Linked DNA regions of Coturnix japonica. Each later gene encodes a partner of the first gene's protein in a complex. Links are inferred from orthologs where the notes say so. Each region holds a gene or a part of one and is shown on either strand. Other genes may lie near its edges.

Region 1 (3,559 bases):
TCACTGTCGCTCACATTGTGGGGAGAAGGTTGTGCTGCAGCCCCCAGAATACAACCCCAGTGCTGTGCTCCCCCAAAACTCAGCTGGTGCTGCTGGGAAGCTGGGCCTGAAAGCAGAACCCAGACTGCTCAGAACAACCAATTTAGGAACAAGAAGCATCTCTTACCGTAGGTTTGCTGTCTGCAGAGAGGCCTGAGATGAGAAGAAAACAGAAAACTCAGTTAGAGAGCAAATATCTGGAGCAGCAATTGATCTGAGAAGAGGAGCAATGAAGTCACAGCACTGCTGGAAGCGCACACCAGTCTGACCAGTGAAGACCTGCTGTCCCATTTCTCCCTCTTTCCACACCATTCACTCAAGGATGAGCCTCCAAATGTCATCCCCAAGTCAGCTTTTCCCACCCATAAGACTTTTCACATGCTTTTCATCCCAGCTCTACAACTCCTGCTCAGAAACCCTGGGCGTGGACAGATGGTAAAACAAAGACAGCCTCACCAGCAACTTTTTCTTTCCCAGGAATAAATAAATATTTGCAGTAAGGTCACTCCATGAATTGGTTCAGCTTCACCTTCTCACCTTTTGTCGAAACTGTGGCCAAACCAAACCTGCAGAAAGCAAACAGAGCTCAGTGAGAGACCCAAGCAAACATGAGGTGGGTATCTAATACATCAAGCCTTCAGTAAGCACAGCACAGACTCTTCCTCCAAATGCTTAAGTGTACCTCAGTCCGACTGCTTGAGAGGAGCTGGGATGTGGGTATTACTGGCTAATGGAGCTACCACAGTAATTCCTATATGTGCCAACAGCAATTCCTCACTTGTTTCAAAGGGAAAACAGCCTCATTGCAGCAATGCAGCTGCTGCCTGTGCCAGGTGAGGATGGGGGACTCACCGAGCTGCACGCGCTGCCTTCTTGCTCTCCAGGCTCACGGGCACGTTGAAGCGCTCAGCTCTCTTCTGCATTCTCTGGAGGTGGGAGAAAAAGAATCCAGAGAAGGAGAGTGAGGACTGGAAGTCTATAGAGAGGAAATGGAAAGAGGCACATGGACTTAATAAGGGATGGGCGAACGCTTCCATGTGCGTGTGCCCGAGACACAGAGAGGCTTGGGGACATCAGAAGTGCACCAAAAAACCATTCGAATCCCCTTTAAAAGCTGAAAGGAAATATCTCACATTCTGTTATTACACAAGGGCCCAGAAATGCGTTTGGTGTTTTAGAGATTAGAGAAACAAGATACGATATTCAGGGAAACATTTCCTTTGGCCAAAAGCTCAGCGAGGAGCGCAATAAACATCTGCATCAAAACATAAATGTTTGGAGAAGATGGGTTAGGAATGTCACTCCTAATGGTGTCAGCGCCGAAGCTGAGAAGTCACTTGGAAGACAGAAAGACGTGGCACCGCTCAGGTCAAAGCACACTTCCTTATCCTCGCTCTTTGAAGGGTATCCAAAAGAAATATCCAATAGAGTGGGCGGCCACACAAAAGCCATGCTGGATCAACAGCCCAATAGAAGGCAGTGGCAGCACAGCTCAGATCATCCCACAAAGAAATGACCCCTCTGACCTTCCATCAGTGAATGAAGCCTTTCAATATTCTGCTATTGCTGAAAACAGGTAAAGCAAAGCCAGCTAATATTTATTTAGCCATATAACCAGGCGCAATGACTGAAGGTAGCCCTCCTCCTGTCAGTCCTATGGGTCCTGATGTTCAGAAGTATTAAACATGTATAGCATATAATAGTCTCAACAAGAGTAGGCTTGGCAATTGGCAAAGATTCGTTGGGCTTCTCTGCCAGTCACCTGCCTCCTTGCTTTATGAAGTGGTCAATATTTCCTACAACTTGAGCAGCCCACCTCCAACAATCAACGATGCACCGTATGGAATAAATAACTCGATGCTCTCTTCTAACAGATCTGAATGATGCTGGAAGCCATTCAGTTCATACACAGCCCCATAAAATACCAAAACAGTGGTTTTCCTTTCATTTGGCTCTATGGAATTTGAAGGGGGGGGGAATAAAACCCAACAAAGGATGAGTGTGTAACGTCAGCAGGTCTGTTAATGAGCTCTTTAAGCTGCTATGGCCAAGGGCAGCCCTGAATCACAGGGGGACATCAATCCTCCACCAGGTACCACGTTGCTCTTCATTACTCCTTCAGCTGAGGTCATAATCCTCTGCTTGCGACATCCCCCTGTGGTTGCTGTGGAAATGCTCCTGTCCCAAACAGGAGATTAGAGCTCGAAAGCAGCAGCGAACAGCAGGAAGACAAGAATCATGTTTTCATACTGACTGCTTTCTTACGGAGCACGAGTGGAAAACTAAAATGGGGGGGGGGGGTGATTAGAGAACCAGAGTGAGATCCCTGAAACTTTGAGTTTCACAAAGCTTTCCCAGAGGAATCAGAGGCTTCTAAGCGTGTTTGTTTTAAATAAGCCCAGCAAATACAAGTGACAAAGCTACAGAAGATAAAGATGAGATGATCTGTTAGTGTCTCCCAAACTCATTGCTCCCTGAAGGATATCCTCAGCAAAGCTTTGTAGTTTGGTGTTTGAAGCAAGCAGGCTTACAGCAAGCCCTGAGGGACACAGATGGGGATCACTGCAGGGAATGTTGCAGCAGGAAGGGCAGCACAATTTAGACAGTGGAGTTATAATGGGACAGTGTATATCTATCAGACTAAGCCATCTTTGCAATGGAAGGATGCACCAGGAGCAGCTCAGCTTGTCTCTAAGTTGGAAATATCGACGTAGGGTCAGAAATGGCAGCAAGGAAGGATGCACCTCCAGACTGCAGAGAGAAGCATTCCATAAGATCACAGCAAAACGGAACGTGCTGTGGGGTCAGCATGCTGCTGCTAGGTCAGCCCGCAGCCGCAGCCTGGTCATTAATAACCAATTAATTAACCAAGCCAAAATAATGGTTTGCAATGTGTGCAAACACTGACAAAGCCTCAGCAATGTAAAAAAAAAAAAGAGACTCTGAATGAAGCAAACAAGCCAAGTGATACCTTGGGGATGAGGGTGAAGCAGCAGAAGGAACCTTACCTCCATCTGTGAGATTTCTGATGTTATTTTCACTACTTTCTTTTCAGTGCTCCTACAAGTGTTGGGAAAGAGAAACATCAGTCAGAATTCCCATTAGCACATCTCAATGAGAGAGAGATCAGGGCTCTCCTCCTAAACCCAGCATCACCTCAAGTCAAGCTCTGTTCTCAAGAGGAACAGTCAGCATCCCTGTTACAAGAGCAGGCTGAGAGCCCTGACAGTGATGCTGGAGTCTGAGGTCTGAGCTGTGTAAGGAAACAAATGAGCTGGTGAAGACACAGCCACCAGTTCTCCTCCTAGCTCAGTGAGTGCCTTCAGCAGCCCTGAGTTCCTTAAGCAATGATGGGAAACAAGTTGGAAGCCCCCAAAGCACACACAAGAACCACCCTCAGCACTCACACCCACTCACATAGGCTGGGAGAAAGGATGAACTCTATTTAAGGCATGAGAAACATCCTGCATTTTCAATGGGGTGCTGCAGGAGCACGTGGGGTGGGTATTACAGCAAGAGG
Region 2 (4,090 bases), on another chromosome or scaffold:
CTATGTACACTAACCACCACATTCAGATGGAAAACGTGGGCAGAACATCTTCAAAAGCAAACACTTCAGATCCGTGCTTGTGAAGATTTAAGTACTCTACTTTCCTACTGCTTAAGGCTTTTTTCAGTCTCTAATAATAGAGTCTAACATTATCCACAAATCATATGTGCATGTGTTTTTAAAGGTTTTAAAACCTTTCACCTGTTACAGCTGGTCTTTCTTTCTTTCTTTTCAACTATTTTTACATTTCACTTTTTAGGAAGCAAAATTTTACCTTCCCAATTGCTAAATTTTGATAAGACTTACAGGGCAATGTTTTAAATTTCAACTAAAAATATCAGTATGTCTTTTAAGGATAAGGAACAGATGTCTGTAATACCTGGTTTAGAGGTATTTTGCAAGGCCATGTAAAATGAGTATGCAACTGGTACAACTGTTCTTGTATTAGGTACTACTTTTCCTTCTAAAGAGCTGAAGGAATATACTTATATAACTTTCAGTGTTGGTTGTAAGCTTATTTAACTCTTTTGTCTTGCTGCTACTAATGTGCTTTAGTTCTTAAGCCAACTGAATTGTCAAAGGATGCTTGGGAGGGTTTCTTTGGCTTGAGAACACCTCTGAGCTACTCTCTAAGTTCTCCTCATGTTACATCACTAAGATTTACTGCCTTAACCTCAACAACCAAACTTTCAGCAGTCTGTGTGGAACCTACCAGATAATGCTCTATGTAGCATCGATGGAGAGCATTTTCTTCTGAGTTTTCAAGAAATATGTCATCTGTTTTCCAGTACAATGTATTTTAAAAGATAACACATTAATAAAACCACCCAGTGTAGATAATGCTGCTTACCCTGGCGATTCTTTCTAATTCTTTTTGCTTGCAGGATTTGTTTCTTGCATTCAGAAATCTTCTCGTGTGCTGCAGCTATACTATTTTCTTTAACAGAAAGACACAAATCAAACAACAAACGCCATCAATCCATTCAGCTAAATCATCACAAACAGCACTTTGTATTTTATACTGCCTGCTATCTCCACGGGCTTCAAAACCATCTATGCCTTGACAGACTAAAAACATATTTTACTTATACACATTTTACACACTGACAAAACACGAGGGCAAGTATGAGTGGTATTAAAATAGTTTTTCTGTCACCCATCTCATGTTTACATTTTGTTTATCAGAACTGACTTGAGTTTCTTTATGAAAGAGAAATTCAAATAAGCATAGAATATTTTTTTTCTCATTTTTTACCTATATCCTTGTAGATCTTTTCATAATTTTCCATCTCTCTCAGGTTCATGTCATACACCAGAAGAGTTTTTCCCATTGAAAATTCACACTGCGATAAAGTACTCAGCATTCGTTGGTACTGACTGTAACTGAAAGCAAACAAGACATTTATTCCTCAGCAGCATGAAAATACCTGCCTGTTTTTATATCACGAGGAAAATGAAGCCTCAGGTAATGTACGGAACAGTTAAAACAGCAATTACTAAAGCAATAAAGGACTTCAAAGATTCAGTGCACAACTGCAAAAAGTACAGTTAAAAATGAATGCTGCACCGATTAATTTTATCATCATAAAGGTATAAAGCAGCATTACAGCATGGGCAGATTGCTCCAGGGATGATACTCTTCCCAACTAGAGCCAGCTCTGTGCCCACCACGATTAATATTTTAACACTCCAGTGCTTCTCTGTGCACAGCATCATCACAGAGTGCCCTCCTGCACTCCAGCATCGGCACAGACCCTACTGCAGAACAACATGTTGCTTAACCTTTAGTTCTTTGGCCTGTTTGTTTTCTTCTTTCTTTTCAGGGCAGTACAGCAGAAGCAGCACAGCCCCCACCTAACAGAACAAATGCAGAGCCACCAAATGGAACACTCAAGTCGTGATCCTGCTGTAATAATGGGACTGCTGAATCGTGAAGCAACGTGCCAACCTCCAGAGCCTTCGCTGTTAGATTTCAGGATGGTTTGCTCTGTAATTTTTGACCCATCTCCAGTGCATGTTTCTTGCCACAGCTCCTGGGCTTTGTCCAGAGAACCACACAGGGCTGAACATAGCAGAGATCATAGAATGGCTATGAATAGGACTGTAATGATCATCTAGTTTCAACCCCCTCCTGTGTGCAAGGTTGCCAACCACCGGAGCCCAGAGCCACATCCAGCCCAAATGGATGCATTTTAACACAGTTTACTTTCTTTGTCTAAACAGATGCTCAGTTTTATGCTCAACTGCAAAGCAATGAGGTTTCAAGACTTAAAAACAGCCAACAAATACCCTTCCTCCTGAGATCCAGAGTTACACCACTTGATGAAACTCTTCACCAGCAGATTGATCCGCCTGTCGTCCCCAGCTCCGTCTCCATCAATGAGAAGCCGTTTGCGGATAACTTCATCTGTGGGAAAAAAAACAACTCGTGTTTAGCGCTCCGTGCTGGAAGCGTGTGGCACGGCAGGAGCTCACCCAGCAGAATGTGGGTGAAATAAAACGCGTTCAATACGCGGGGCCTGGGATCGGCAGGGAGGCTGGGCCCGAGAGGCCCGATGGAGCCCCAGGCCCCGGCACTGAGCGCAGCGGAGCGGCCTGGAAGCGCTCCATGCGGGGTGAGGCCGCCGCGCAGGGGTGCGTGGCTTCCCCGGGGTGAGAAACCCGGAGCGGGGACAGCGAGAGGGAGGGCAGGAGGGAGGAGGTCTCACCGTCGGTCACGGCCCCCATGGCGGCGAGCGGCGGAGCCGGCGGGGCGGCGGCAGCAGCGAGTGAGGTCAGCTTCCCACAATGCAGCCGGAGAGAGCGGCGGCCATGGAGGGGGAGGCGGCGGCGGCGGCTGGGGCCTGAGCCGGCTGGCGGCGAACGCGCGGCCCATCGGCGGGGAGGGCCGGCCGGGAGGCCCGCACCCCGCGCGGAACCGGCCCCCTGGCGAGGGGCGGCCCCGCCAGGTGAGAGGCCGACGGGGGAGGGAAGCGGAGGTCCCCGCGCCCGCAGCCAGGCTCCACCTCCCAACCACCGCGCCCACGACCCCGCCGCCCCCCTCCTGGGCCGCCCCGCCATGCCCTCGGCACATGGCCCTCGCCCTTCGACGCCTGGCATCGAGGCGTGGGGCCGGCGCTGTGGGCTGAGGGGAGATGGGCTGAGCGCCTCGGGTCACGCTTGGGATGAGTCCCTGGTGTGTGGCTTGACACAAGAGGCTGAGCATTGGGGCAAGGGAAGGATGTGGAATGTTGTTCCTGAGGTGTTTCCTGGGGTGCTGTGCTGTGGGTGGTAACCAGAGCGGGTTGTTCCTATATGGAAAAGTGAACCGGTGCTGGGGTGTGCCGGGAGAAAAGAGGTATTAAGCTGTTGGATGAGATCAAGTGTTGGGTTTTCGCCTTTTGGACCAAAATGTTGACACCTGTGCCATGCTAAAGTTGATAATGTTACTTTAAGATACATTGGTACAATAATGATATGTGAGATGCATGTCCAGGCCCTGACATCTTGGCATTACCTTCTCCTCTTGGTTGGACACTAAGTACATGCAGACTCATTCTGCTTGTTGCTGTGTATTAAGAGAAAATGGGTGTAAGGAAGAAAGAACCGTGTCAGCATGTAGTGTCATCTCCATCTTCCTGGTTTTAGAGCCCTGAGTGACGACGGGTTCTTTTGTTCTGGATAGAGATGTATAACAGGGGTTTACATATTACTAGATTGTTGCAAGCCAGCACTTTGACTTGTGAAGTGGCACCTGGTAGGTTCTTTGCGAGGCACTATTGGGAAGGGCTACAGAGAGTGGTCATTAAAGCTCCATCTGGATTGAAGGTATTTCCAGTGTAGAAAAACTGGGTAAATATGCTGCTTTCTTGATATTTTTATGTATCTCTGCGTGATTTGTGAGTGATATAATTTGATGTGAAAAGTGGCGCTTTCCTACCCTACTTAGATCTCCTATCTTCAGCATCTTGGAGCATCCTGGTCTTATCAACACTTAATACTATTCATGCCATTCTCTTAGCTCTTTCCTTTTCTACTGTGATGAGAAGTTGATCAGAACTGTTGGGTGTTGAGGGTGCGAACTGTCAGTTATTTGTTTAATAATGCAAGA

The links. Proteins that work in one complex are often made in the same cells at the same time.
Region 2: SARNP (region 1) and THOC7 share a complex: the UniProt entries of both Homo sapiens proteins name them as parts of the transcription/export (TREX) complex. The link is inferred for Coturnix japonica from reciprocal best matches to the Homo sapiens genes SARNP and THOC7.

The regions. Positions count from the first base shown.
Region 1 is NC_029544.1:1,006,835-1,010,393, reverse strand, and holds part of SARNP (SAP domain-containing ribonucleoprotein), read right to left. Parts: intron 3,100-3,559; coding exon 3,048-3,099; intron 966-3,047; coding exon 892-965; intron 606-891; coding exon 577-605; intron 193-576; coding exon 167-192; intron 1-166. UniProt on the Homo sapiens protein: Binds both single-stranded and double-stranded DNA with higher affinity for the single-stranded form. Specifically binds to scaffold/matrix attachment region DNA. Also binds single-stranded RNA. Enhances RNA unwinding activity of DDX39A.
Region 2 is NC_029527.1:10,990,622-10,994,711, forward strand, and holds the start of THOC7 (THO complex subunit 7 homolog), read right to left. Parts: upstream 2,819-4,090; 5' UTR 2,728-2,818; coding exon 2,709-2,727; intron 2,408-2,708; coding exon 2,290-2,407; intron 1,384-2,289; coding exon 1,256-1,383; intron 938-1,255; coding exon 851-937; intron 1-850. UniProt on the Homo sapiens protein: Component of the THO subcomplex of the TREX complex which is thought to couple mRNA transcription, processing and nuclear export, and which specifically associates with spliced mRNA and not with unspliced pre-mRNA.